2 linked regions of the Danio rerio genome follow. The protein of the gene in region 1 binds, or shares a complex with, the protein of each later gene. Links are inferred from orthologs where the notes say so. Each region holds a gene or a part of one and is shown in the gene's direction. Other genes may lie near its edges.

Evidence for each region. Proteins that work in one complex are often made in the same cells at the same time.
Region 2: the proteins of cdk4 (region 1) and ccnd1 are in contact, whole or in part, in a crystal structure (PDB 2W96), measured with the Homo sapiens proteins. The link is inferred for Danio rerio from reciprocal best matches to the Homo sapiens genes CDK4 and CCND1. Residues at the interface, in NP_000066.1 of Homo sapiens: Gly45, Gly48, Leu49, Ile51, Thr53, Val54, Arg55, Val57, Ala58, Leu59, Arg61, Arg62, Ala65, Phe66, Asp76, Val77, Cys78, Ala79, Arg82, Ile87, Val89, Asp129, His132, Ala133, Asn134, Cys135, Ser285, Phe287, Arg288; in NP_444284.1 of Homo sapiens: Leu6, Cys7, Cys8, Glu9, Val10, Thr12, Ile13, Ala30, Lys33, Ala34, Thr37, Phe108, Lys112, Met113, Glu115, Pro118, Leu119, Thr120, Ala121, Leu138, Gln139, Glu141, Leu142, Val145, Asn146, Lys149, Trp150, Asn151, Leu152, Ala153.

What each region holds. Positions count from the first base shown.
Region 1 is NC_133186.1:163,487-170,557, reverse strand, and holds the start of cdk4 (cyclin-dependent kinase 4), read left to right. Parts: upstream 1-3,213; 5' UTR 3,214-3,214; exon of another isoform or gene 3,215-3,518; intron 3,519-5,245; exon of another isoform or gene 5,246-5,451; intron 5,452-6,775; coding exon 6,776-6,993; intron 6,994-7,071.
Region 2 is NC_133182.1:69,631,210-69,638,321, reverse strand, and holds the start of ccnd1 (G1/S-specific cyclin-D1), read left to right. Parts: upstream 1-3,362; 5' UTR 3,363-3,641; coding exon 3,642-3,839; intron 3,840-5,236; coding exon 5,237-5,452; intron 5,453-5,823; coding exon 5,824-5,983; intron 5,984-7,112. UniProt on the Homo sapiens protein: Regulatory component of the cyclin D1-CDK4 (DC) complex that phosphorylates and inhibits members of the retinoblastoma (RB) protein family including RB1 and regulates the cell-cycle during G(1)/S transition.

The sequences.
Region 1 (7,071 bases):
CATAGCTACAAAACAAAATAAGAAGAAGTGCAATGGGTTCAACTCTGCAAAATAAAAGCAGAGCAATTGGGAACTCATGATGACCTTTGGGGGGACTCGTGATGACCTTAACAAACTATTGATGACTAGTGATGACCTTTACAGACTAGTGATGACCTTTGAGAGACCACTGATGACCTTTACAGACAAGTGATGACCTTTGAAGGACTAGTGATGACCTTTGAGAGACTAGTGATGACCTTTACAGACTAGTGATGACCTTTGAGAGACTAGTGATGACCTTTACAGACAAGTGATGACCTTTGTAGGACTACTGATGACCTTTACAGACTAGTGATGACCTTTGAGAGACTAGTAATGACCTTTACAGACTAGTGATGACCTTTACAGACAAGTGATGACCTTTGTAGGACTACTGATGACCTTTACAGACAAGTGATGATCTTTGAGAGACTAGTGATGACCTTTACAGACAAGTGATGACCTTTGTAGGACTACTGATGACCTTTACAGACAAGTGATGACCTTTGTAGGACTAGTGATGACCTTTGAGAGACTAGAGATGACCTTTACAGACTAGTGATGACCTCTACAGACTAGTGATGACCTTTGAGAGACTAGTGATGACCTTTACAGACTAGTGATGACCTTTACAGACTAGTGATGACCTTTGAGAGACTAGTGATGACCTTTACAGACTAGTGATGACCTTTGAGAGACCAGTGATGACCTTTACAGACTAGTGATGACCTTTGAGAGACCAGTGATGACCTTTACAGACAAGTGATGACCTTTGTAGGACTACTGATGAACTTTACAGACAAGTGATGACCTTTGAGGGACTAGTGATGACCTTTGAGAGACTAGTGATGACCTTTACAGACTAGTGATGACCTTTGAGAGACCAGTGATGACCTTTACAGACAAGTGATGACCTTTGTAGGACTACTGATGACCTTTACAGACAAGTGATGACCTTTGTAGGACTAGTGATGACCTTTGAGAGACTAGAGATGACCTTTACAGACTAGTGATGACCTCTACAGACTAGTGATGACCTTTGAGAGACTAGTGATGACCTTTACAGACTAGTGATGACCTTTGAGGGACTAGTGATGACCTTTGAGAGACTAGTGATGACCTTTACAGACTAGTGATGACTTTTACAGACTAGTGATGACCTTTGAGAGACTAGTGATGACCTTTACAGACAAGTGATGACCTTTGTAGGACTACTGATGACCTTTACAGAGTAGTGATGACCTTTGAGAGACTAGTAATGACCTTTACAGACTAGTGATGACCTTTACAGACAAGTGATGACCTTTGTAGGACTACTGATGACCTTTACAGACTAGTGATGACCTTTACAGACAAGTGATGATCTTTGAGAGACTAGTGATGACCTTTACAGACAAGTGATGACCTTTGTAGGACTACTGATGACCTTTACAGACAAGTGATGACCTTTGTAGGACTAGTGATGACCTTTGAGAGACTAGAGATGACCTTTACAGACTAGTGGTGACCTTTACAGACTAGTGATGACCTTTGAGAGACCAGTGATGACCTTTACAGACTAGTGATGACCTTTACAGACTAGTGATGACCTTTACAGACAAGTGATGACCTTTAAGAGACTAGTGGTGACCTTTACAGACTAGTGATGACCTTTGAGAGACCAGTGATGACCTTTACAGACTAGTGATGACCTTTACAGACTAGTGATGACCTTTACAGACTAGTGATGACCTTTAAGAGACTAGTGGTGACCTTTACAGACTAGTGATGACCTTTGAGAGACCAGTGATGACCTTTACAGACTAGTGATGACCTTTACAGACTAGTGATGACCTTTACAGACTAGTGATGATGTTTACAGACTAGTGATGATCTTTGGGAAACCAGTGATAACCTGTGGAGACTAGTAATGAACTTTAGAGTCCAGCGATGACCTTTGAGAGACTAGTGATGACTTTTACAAATTAGTGATGACCTTTGGGAGACTAGTTATGATCTTTACATAATAGTAATGGCCTTTGAGAGACTAGCAATGACCTTTATAGACTAGTGATGACCTTAGGGAGACGTGAGATGACCTTTGAGACCACTGTTATGCTGACAATACACTCTATATCTCCTTATAACCCGATAATAAGTTTTAATCATTATATGAGATGCGCCATCCTGAGAACAATAACACCTGTTGATGCCTAGTCTGTCAAAGTTCACCACAACATGCTTTTGAAGTCAAACACAGCAATGAAAGACTGATGGAGAGACGAGGATTTGGACTGAGAAGACACAGGTGTAAACAATTAGCAGGATATCCAACCCTGTACAGCTCATCATAGATTCAGACACTACAGACGACCGCACACACACTGATACGCTGACTTGAGGAATCATGCTTGAGCTCTAGACGCCTTATATGTCTATGTCACATGCCTCCCTACTGTATAGTATGTGAAAAACAGGAGGCGAGCCGAGTGTGTCTGAGTATTGAGTAGTGTGTGTGTGTGTGTGTGTGTGTGTGTGTTATATAGATGGACATGAAACACTGTGTAACACTGTTCTGAAGCTGAGTGTGTGTGTATGTGTGTGTGTGTGTGTGTGTGTGTGTGTGTCTGTCTTTGAGAGAGAGAGAGAAACAGAGATGTGGTTTTCACAGTCCCGTTCACTTCCTGCATGCACTTCCTCTTTCTCTCCAAAACTGACACTCAACATGACTTTCTTCAGAAAACACAAAGCAGAAAACACAGCACAAACTCTCCAAACTACATGAAGAAAACCAGAACAGAAGAGCACACATCATAAACCAATGAAAAACACAGAGCAGTGAAGCCGCTTCCTGCCACTGATGCTGCCATTACGACTCTTTAAGGTGAATAATGCAGGTGTATTATATGAAGAAGACGAGCACGCGTGTCTGAACAGCTGTACACAGAGCAGTTCTCAGAGCAGACAGACATATCCCTCATTTCTAAGATCTGTTAGACTACACCGGACACTGTTTCCAGCATCGCTCAGTCAGGTCCACAGTGAGGAGCAGCAGGAACGTATAAAGCAGAGGGTTTCAGCGTGTGGATCTGGACTGAGGACTTCAGAAGCGGCTCCGCTCACCTTCTTGATGTGGTTGATGCGCACCAGCACACCCTGCCCACGGTCACGGAGGATCAGCAGCTTCTCCGCCAGTTTCAGCTGGTAGGCCATGGTGAGTGTGTGTGAGTGTGTGTGTGTGTGTGTGTGTGTGCAGACTGAAGAGCTCGGAGATGGAGCAGAAGTGAAATCTACACGTTCAGCAGGCGGAGGCAGCGCTCCACTTCCGCTCTCAGCTTTCTCTAATCTGAGTTCACTGTGTCGATCCTCTCTCGCCCATCACACTCACTGCTCAGTCTGATGAAGTGCCTTTAAAGGGTTAGTTCACACATAACTTTAACACTGTCATCATACACACTTCCTCAGGCATTTCAAACCCTTAATGAGTTTCTTTCTTCAGTTGAACACAAAGGAAAACCTGTAACCATTGACCTCTACAGTATTTATTTTCCTACAATGGAAGTGAATGGCTACAGGTGTTCAACATTCTTCAAAGTATCTTCTGTTCTGGTTGAGTGACGCGTCAGTGTCTGTCCTGAGACTGCACACATTACTGACTCACAGCTGATGTTATGTGCAATCTGAGATTTCAGGATCTAATAACCCTAACACAACCACATCTAACCCAGCACATGATGAGGCCTTCACCTGTCTGTACCTGCTGAGACAGAGGAAACACAACACACACTGCTGACACCTGCTGGACACACACATTTTCATTTAATTTTCTCTCAGGTTAATAAGAGTGTCTGTGGCCTCGCCCTCACAGAAATGCACATTATCATATGCTGATGACGTGTGTTGGTGATGTAGCTTTACTACAAATCAAGAATCTTCATTCATCTATAAGCAGATCAGCACATGGGCTCAGCACTACTGCGCTAAACCTGTGACAAGCAGCACAATACAGAGTCACATCCACAAACACCAGCCAACACTGCACTGTGCCAAGAGGAAGCCCTATGTTAACAGTGTCCAGCAGCGCTTCTCTGGGCTGGGAGGCGTCTGGGATGCAGCATCACACAGTGGAGACGTGTCCTGTGCTCAGATGAAGCAGTGTTTCAGGTGTTTCTGGGAGAAATGGACGCCGTGTGCTCCACACCAAAGAAGAAGAGGATCATCCAGACTGACACCAGCAACACGTCCAGCAGCCCGGCTCTGTCATGGTCTGGGGTTGTGTCGGTGCTCTTGGCGAAGGTGACCTGCTCTTCTGTGATGCTCCAGAGGAGACAGACGCTGGACTGACCTGCCTGCAGTCCTGACCTGTCTCCAATAGAGAATGTGTGGCGCTGTACTGTTGCCTACACTAAGACTTGTTTGCAGGAGGAATGAGACAGAATTATCCCTGAAACACTTCAGCACTCGCCGTCTTCAGTCCCTAAACGTCTCTGAGTGTTGTGAAGAGGAGCGGCAGCATGACAGAGTGGGAAACGCTTCACTGATGCAGCTGTTTCTGAAATGTGTTGCAGGAAACATTCATTTATTTATTTTCTTTTCGGCTTAGTCCCTTTATTAATCTTGGGTCGTCACAGCGGAATGAACCGCCAACTTATCCAGCATATTTTTTACGCAGCGGATGCCCTTCCAGCTGCAACCCATCTCTGGGAAACATCCATACACACTCATACACTACGGACAATTTAGCCTACCCAATTCCCCTATAGCGCATGTGTTTGGACTGTGGGGGAAACCGGAGCACCTGGAGGAAACCCACGCCAACACGGGGAGAACATGCAAACTCCACACAGAAACACCAACTGACCCAGCCGAGACTCAAACCAGCGACCTTCTTGCTGTGAGGCGACAGTGGAACCCAAACTGCAAAGTGTTTATTCAGAAAACACAACATAAATGATGAGGAGCACATTAATCATGTGTGCTGAATTACCTGCAGTCAAACACAACTCACAGCACACGTGTTCACACTCACCCAATGTCTGCTGATGTGGGGATGCAGTTCAAGTCGTTTATTAGGGTAATATTGAGGTTTACTGGTGTAAGTGTGTTAGTGAGGTAAGTTTACTGGTGTAAGTGTGCTAGTGAGGTAAGTTTACTGGTGTAAGTGTGTTAGGTGACTGCTGGAAGTGTGTTGTGATTGGCTGAAGTGTGTGAGGGTCTAGTCGTGTCGCTCCGCCTTGAGATCAAACAGGAAGTGAGTTGAGACAGACTGTGAACAGGCCAGAGTTTCTCACACAAACTTTAATGAGTTAAACTTCTGAAATATGAACTGAAATCCTCAGTCAACAGCAAACTCCGCACAACAGCCCGCATCTGAGCGCCGCGGAGCAGAAGCGATGCGCGCTGCACTCTCATAAACTAGTTTAACTAGCTGTGCACGCGCGGAGAAACGTGGTGAGTGCTCAGAAGTGTGTGTGTGTGTGTGTGTGTGTTCAGTATATACAGTGCTCGTAATGACCCGTGTTATGATGTCTCGATTATGCTGGTTCAGCTCGGTGGATGTGTTTGATGACGTGTTGTTGTTGTTGTGTTGTTGAGTCTGTGAGTGTCGTGATTGTGACTGATGTTGTTCTGCTCCTCCTGGGAATGAGCAGCTCCGGCCAGCACTAACAGCGCTTTACCACAGTTTACCTCATTACAGCGGTGCAGGACACACTCCTCCAGCAGCAGCGGGTAAACACATCCTCACACTGCCGCTGAGCTGAAGAGTGCAGAACACGGAGAAGACAACTGCAGGAGCTCTACTGAACACACACACACACACACACACACACACACATCAATATAAGGAGCCTGTGTGGTGTCATATCAAAGAAAATGTACAGTTATTAAGAAAAACACGCTCTCTTATACTATGAACACAGAGTTAACCTCACTGAAACACTTCTACAATTATCACACACTTATAAACATTAAACAGGAGGGAGGATGAACAGCGCACAGTGGCCAGCTTTACTGATGCACCAAATATATATATATATATTTACATGTTGTGTGTGAGAAGCAGTAAATTACAGGTCATCATCATCCACCAAACACTCAAATATGGAAAATGTTTAAAAATAAAGTCAATTTTTGACATTTTAGGAAGTTTTTTGTGGGGAAATGTTGTAATGGTGCAGCGCTGGGCAGCAGAAATGCAGTGTTGCTTGCTTTACTGTGTGTGTGTGTGTGTGTGTGTGTGTGTGTGTGTACAGTTTATTTAGATCAATGACAGCCTACATGTCTGTATGTCACACTAATGATCATCAGAGAAGTCTTATATTAAGAAAGAGGAGAATCAAAGTGTGCGTATTAACACACACACACACACACACACACACACACACACACACACACACACACACAGAGTGTGTTCGAGGTTGTTCTGGCTCTAGTGATGGTGATGTGCTTTCAGGCTCTGGGTTTGTGTGTTTGTGGCCTGTTTACACAACCAGCAGCGCCACACAACTGAGCTGTTGAGTAAATGTGGAGAAACTGGTGTGTGTGTGTGTGTGTGTGTGTGCAGGTTTGTCTTAATACAGCTAAAACTGATGTTTCTGTCTTACAGCAGAGTCACACACACATACTGACAGCAGTGTGTGCACATGTACAGGTGTGTGTGTGTGTGTGTACAGGTGTGTGAGCGTGTGTATGTTTGTGCAGGTAATGATGCCTGCAGAGGAACTTGTGTGCGCGTGCATCAGGTGATGGCACAGTAATGTGTGTGTGTTTGCAGATGGCGCAGGAGGTGGGGCTGCAGTATGAGCCAGTAGCAGAGATCGGGGGCGGGGCTTACGGGACCGTCTATAAGGCTCGGGATCGGGACAGCGGGCAGTTTGTGGCGCTGAAGAGCGTTCGGGTGCAGACCAATCAGGACGGACTCCCACTGTCCACGGTTCGAGAGGTGGCTCTGCTGAAGCGCCTGGAGCAGTTCGACCATCCCAACATCGTCAGGTACACACACACAGTTACATACACACACACAATCACTGATACACACAATTACTCATGGGCACACACACACACACACAC
Region 2 (7,112 bases), on another chromosome or scaffold:
AATTCAATCGTTTCGACCCATGCAATCTATACCTTGGCCTGTTGTTGTGGTCCAGGTTTGTAAATTTAATAAATGTATTAAATTATATATATATATATATATATATATATATATATATATATATATATATATATATATATATATATATATATATATATATTATATATATACTAATTAATTAAACATTTATAACTCTGAATAATTTATTTATACCAAGTAAAAAACTAAAAGTAAATAGTACACTGTAAACCCCAAAAAGTAGATAAGGTAAGGTAACTCAAACCATTTGAGGAAACCGATTGCATAAAATAATAATAATAATAATAATAATAATAATAATAATAATAATAATAATAATAATAAATTCACGTTCCAAAGCTGATCCTAATGTGTACTTTGACCTTAATCCATTTGAATAAAAGAAGCAATTTGAGCACATTAAAACTTAATAAATGAAAAGAATTCAAACCAACTGAGTACTGTAAAACCCAATAAGGCAACTCAAACCGTTTGAGGAAACCGATTGCAACAAATCATATGAGTTTAAAAAAAAAAAACTAATTCATGTAAGGACTGTGAACTTATTCAATTTAATTTGAAGTACTGAGGTATTCAATTACTCATTGCCTTCAACATTGAGTTTAAAACTTTTTAAAAGGAATATAATAAATTTCTGTAAAAATTGAGTTAACTAAACTCATTTTGTTTGAAAAAGTTGATTGTGGGGTTTTACAGTGTATTAATTTCAACTTCAATTTTGTCCAGAAAGATTTTATTATTTGCCCCCAACTGCTCTACAATTATAAAAGTTTACATTATTTACTATTTTTATGTTAGTCACTAGAAATAAAAGATTCCCATATGTTATTTTTCTCCAAACACATACAGCCTTTGTCTATGAAGCTCAAGAAGAAATTTAAAGTGTTAATGCTTTCAGGTTAGGCTAATAACTGATCAGATTAGTCCTTTGCGGACTACATCGGAAATCCACAGTAAACATCTTAATAATTTGTAAACGAGTGACTTCAACAGCGAAGTATAACTTCACATGTACATGCACTGCAGGCTATGCAGCTAACAGACAAGAATGGTTTCCGATTGGGCTGGAGAACAGCAACTTCCTATTCGCTTGCCGTATGTTTTGTAATGCACGCGCAAGAAAAACTCACATGGTCGCTCATTCATTGTTAGCAAAACTTTTGTAGCCCAAGAAAGCTTTCTGACATGTTGAAGCAATTATTTACTGTTTATTTAGTTCGAAAGTTTCCTAAAACAACTTCTGATTTATTGTTTTGATAGGCGGATCTCAGAATCTTAGCAGGTAGGCTTTAAAAGTAAAAACGAAAAATGTAAAGTTTTAATACGTTTTTTTTTTATGTATTGTAAAATAAACTGATTACTGTTACCTTTTGTTATTATCAGCCTTCTAAAGGACTACATTTATCCTAACATGAACTCGTTCAGCTAATTTTATAATGGACATAATGAAACGTGAAAGAAAACGCATAAAAAGTCTTTGTCTTTTATGCAAAGAAAAAGAAAGTTCATAAAAGAATTATTTTCTTTCAAATGCCATTTCTTATAGACGTTTAAAATAATGGTAAGTAATACAGTGTCATATAATAGCCTGATATATTATTAAAGTAATCTAATAAAGTAATTTTTGATCTTATAATGAACAGCCTAAACTACTGTTTGCTATTAAATTAATTAATATATTTGCCTAATATTTAAAGAGCATTGTTGATATGTCTATATGTAAAATGACGTGTGGGGGAAAAAAACTTAAATCAGTGGAACATTTAAAGTTTTTCTTGTATTCTAGTTTCTCTCTGCAACTCGTTTTGGTCTTTGTCTTTTCTGTAAAAAAAAAAAAAAAATACAAAATTCCATTATATGCATGTTCTTATAGAGGTTTAAAGTAATAGTAAATAATACAGTAGCCTAATAACAGTTGCTATTATAGCCTAAGATAATATTATACTATGCTAATAAAATAACTTTTGATCTTAGAATGAACGTACTAGCCTGTTTGCTACTAAATATATAATAAATAAATAAATATATATATATATATATATATATATATATATATATACACAGAGTGTTGTTGATATGCTTATGTAAATGACTTGTGAGAACACTTAAATCCATGTAACATTTAAAGTTGTTCCTTTACTCTAGCTTATTTCTGCAACTCTAAAGTTTTTTGTCTTTGTCTTTTCTGTAAAAATAAAAGTTATATTTTTTCTTTAATATGCATGTTCTCAAAAAGGTTTAAAGTAATAGAACTTAATACAGTAACTTAGCTGCTATTATAGCATAATAAGCTTATAATACATTTATTAACATTTAAAGTTGTTACTTTATTGTAGCTTCTTTCTGCAGCTGAAGTTTTGGGCACAGGCAAATTACTTGTTTTACGGTATTGAAGTGGAATGTGCGGAATTTGTAAAGCTTCAATTCATCCTGAAGCGACAGCAGTGAGGTCTTTTAAAGTGAGAGCGCCCCTGTTTGATCAAACTCTATCAAACAATTTGTGTTGTTAAAGCTGCAGATGTCGTGTTTAAACTTTACCGGTGAGCTAATGTTTTCTTTTAACGCGGTTTGTTTCCGAGTCTAAATATTATAACTACTTTATTGTTTGTATTATTTTATTATTTGAAATATTTAATGTTTTGGTGTACAAAGAGAAAAAAAAAAGTTAAATGAGATTTAAGGAAATGTATTATTAAATACGACAAGAAGAATGCTTCACATGATTAATTTTAACAATTTATTTTGTTTATTTAACATTTCCACGAGGAGTTTTTTTTTAGATAAAAGCTCGTGCCGCAGTTCTGCCTGGCAACTGACGTGCTCCTCCATTGGTTTAGGCTAATTTGTGCTTCCTTCTTTAAGTCTAACCCCCCAAAAAGAAACAAAAAAATAAAACAAGCCTCCACCCAAGACCACACATTTGTTTCATATATAGCCTACTGAAACCACATTCAAGTTTGTGCAGAAACTTAGCTATATGAAACTTCATAAAGTAATCCAAAATCTTTTAAAAACATTTTAAAAGCCTGATTTTAAAAGCAGACAAGTGACTGTGACCAAATTTATTTTACAAATAAAACTTTTGATATATGCTTGTACAATTACAGTGACAAAAGTTTTTCAATGCGACAGTGTGGGCACCTTGATTTAGGCTATTATACTGCCCCCTACCAATACTAACCCAATACACATCTTCACCCCAGTCTTTTCCACCCCCGATACCCACGACACTAGCAGCCTGCCCCCTGCGCCCCCACCCCGGCCCAGCCTACCCCCACCACCGCTTCTCCTTGGTCACTCGTCACCCGGCGTAGGACCTCCTATTTCCATAGGGCTAAAGAAAGGAGCCAAAACTGAGAAGCAGATAGTTCTTTAGATTGATCCTCCGCCCTGAGCAGACAGCCTCTCGCTCTCTCACAGGCTCGCTGCTGCTGCTTTGATCTTCCCTTAACAACAGTCACGTCATAGGGGAGTTTTGTCAAGCGGAGAGCTGCAGCGAGACTTTTAGAGGGTTCAGCAGAGGCAGCAAAAAGCATCCACGGGACCAGTGTCCGACTCGAGCTCCAGCTTTCTTACTTTTCTCACTGCTAAACACTGAAGATATGGAGCACCAGTTGTTTTGCTGCGAAGTGGATACCATAAGAAGAGCTTACCAAGACAGCAACCTGTTGAATGACCGAGTTTTACAGACAATGCTTAAAGCTGAGGAAAACTATCTCCCATCACCAAATTATTTCAAGTGTGTTCAGAAAGAAATTGTGCCTAAAATGAGGAAAATCGTCGCGACGTGGATGCTCGAGGTTTGTTTTGGATAATATATTTATATATCTCTTTTTTTTTGCATTTGCTGCTACACACGTTGCCTCACGATGATTCTACTCTTGCTCTTTGGACTCCAAGAAGTATTTATTAAATGAAAAAAAATGCTTTAGTGTGACTTGGGTTCATCGGCATTGCTTATCCATCCCAGAAATATCACACAGAAACACGCTGTCCGATTATTGTTGCTTATTTTTTACGTAAAAATGTTTTATTACGAAATATTAATCCGACACGAGACGTTTTCCGTGCTTTCCGCTTTAGCCTTTTTATTTAGGGTTGTTATTTTTTCATGCATGCGTTTCGTTTCTTATAAATATTTTAAAATATAGATACATTTATTTATTTTTATTTTATTTTAATACCAATGTACACGTATGCATTCTCACTCGTGCCAGTAGCCTATTATACGCCATCTTTGTTGTCGTTTGCTTAAGTTTTTTATTTCTCTAAATTCTAAAATGGAAACATAATTGACATCACCTGCATAAAAGCGCTCACAAGTTGTCTTTTAAATCACAGGTATAACATAAATCAAATTTTTGCAAGAAAACGTAATATTTGTGTCTTAAAAGTTTTGTTTCAGTTTGTCATACCTCCTGCACGACGGTCTAAAAATATTGTATTATTTCATTTCTGAATTCAACATCGTGTTATAACCTATCGGATTATGTTAACCCTCTAATAATGTGGATTTACAGATGTTTAACAGTAGATTTAATGCTAAGGAATAATTTATATTAATTTATGAAACACCCGCTTCACCTAAATGTCGCATGCTTCCCTTTGTATGATGGGGCTTTGGATTTCAGTTCATTTCACGTAGTTTTTGTCATTGCAATCGAAATATTTTTGCATAATCTAATAAAGCATGAGTTACAGTACATTTACATGTGTTTAAAGTCAAGCAAAACAATTTTCGTATATTTTTAAATATTTTTTGAAAAGATGACGAACTAGAAAATTGTTTCCTGAACCGAGCTCAGACGCCACCTTTTTGCCTCGAAAGCAACGACCATTAGCATCAGAAGCAAATTGTAACATTTATACTTTGTGCAACACTTAGGATTAAACTTAAATTACTGATTAAATACTATTTTTAAGCATTTCCACGTGTCTTTTTTTTCTAATTTAACCCTTTCCACTGCACGTGTACGAATCAGCAGATGCTAAACACGTGGGATAACTCGATAAGATCAAAGCATACTGTAGCTTAAAAAATATTTGCACTTCGTTTATTTAATAAATTTCTATGAATAGTTTTTATTTTTATTTTTTATTTTTTTTTATTTATATATTTCTACACGTTTAATTAAAAGAATTAGCTGCTGTTGTGACTTAATATTTATTTATCGTATGCACTTTCTTTTCTTTAAAGGTCTGTGAAGAGCAGAAATGTGAAGAGGAAGTTTTTCCTTTGGCTATGAACTACCTGGACAGGTTTTTATCTGTGGAGCCCACCAAAAAAACCAGGTTGCAGCTTTTAGGAGCAACTTGTATGTTTCTGGCTTCAAAAATGAAAGAGACTGTGCCACTTACAGCAGAGAAGTTGTGCATATACACGGACAACTCTGTCCGTCCCGGCGAATTATTGGTAAATGTTTAATACTCTTTAATTTAGCAGCTTGATATTGTTTTCTTTTTTTTTTTTTTTTTGTGCTGAATTAAAGTAAAATAATGCAATTGAAGGTCATTTTGCTCAAAGACCTATACGTTAAGGTATTGCATGAAACAACGAGCTAAATGAGTTTATCAAAGTGTTAAGGCACCCACAGATATCTGTAAATAACAGTACATGTTACAAATTGTTGGTGCTTTTGATGTGTGCGTTAATTGAACGTAGGCCTTGCGTTATTGTGCAATTAATCGACATCTCCATCTAGCGTTCAAAGAGTGTAAAATCTGAAATGGAAAAATCGTCTGGGGCTTTATGTAAACTTGGACCATTTTATATCTCCCTCGCAGCAAATGGAACTGCTGGCGCTAAATAAACTGAAGTGGGATCTGGCCTCAGTGACACCACATGATTTCATTGAACACTTCCTTGCCAAACTGCCTATACATCAGAGCTCCAAGCAGATACTGCGCAAACACGCCCAGACCTTTGTGGCCCTCTGTGCGACAGGTATGTTTGTACTTTTGAGCTCACTTTTATTTTGTTTCGGTAACTTTGCAAAAGTTTTGAGCACTTTATCATGGTCATGCATTGAAGATCCTTCCCTCACAGTGTTTTACTTTCAGGCAGACTTCTTTATTGCAATTGAACGAGCCATCTTGCTTGTCCTAATTCCATACTCACAGTTATTGTAAACCAGTGAGAGGCTCTGCAAAGAGAGAGGAAGTCTGTTTCCTTTTGTGGTGATTGCTGACTGCTCCAGAGCTTCTGAGAAGCCCTGCCTGCTTCACGATACCGCTTCTGTGCACACAGTGCATGTGAACCAAAAAGCGGAAGTAGTTTTCTGACATTTTCCCTGTGAAAAGGGCTTTGTAACCTGATATTTTCCCATGTCTAGACATCTTGATGTCCAGGTACCCTTTTAGTTAGAGTGTTTGCTTCGGGGTAAGGCTGCAAATCCACTTTTTGACCTTACACCTCATTGTCGAGCAACCTACAGCAGTCAGTTTATCACCTGCCAGAGTAGGCCAGTAATGTTTCAGGAAGGAACTACTTGGGTATACTCTTTTTGTTCCTCCATTTACATGGTGGGTATCACCACAGCTCGCTTCACTTTTATGTTTATGACCCGCATTTCTTTGGGAAGTAGCCTGGGATCTTAGCCAGGGAGAGTGTGGTTGGATGGATACTGGGAAGGGGTGGGTGCTGGTGAATGAAATGAATGGGCTGGGGTGAAGGCTCCTGTGCCTTTATGCTCAATTTGTCTTGACAATTGCCCTCTCGTCTCTGAGCTAGCAGTGCTAGATGACTTCCTATTAGAAAGGCAGTTGTATTTCTCTATTCTCCATGTGTGGGCGAAGTGCAAAGTGAGAATATAAGGGCAAGAGGTGGCTTTGATTTATAAGCTCTGCTTAATGGATGTGTGAGGGTTATGAGTGCTCCGAAGCCATTTTTAGGAAGTTGTTGTGATGGGTATGGGTTTTCTAAAGCAGGAAATGTTAAAATCTTGAAATCCTAAGATTTCCATGCACTTTTAGTATTAACGTGCACAAAGAGGCATGATTTATGGGATGTTTTGAGAATGAGAGGGCTGTGTAGGGGGTAGCTTGCTCAGGACCTACAGCAAAGTTCTCTGCCT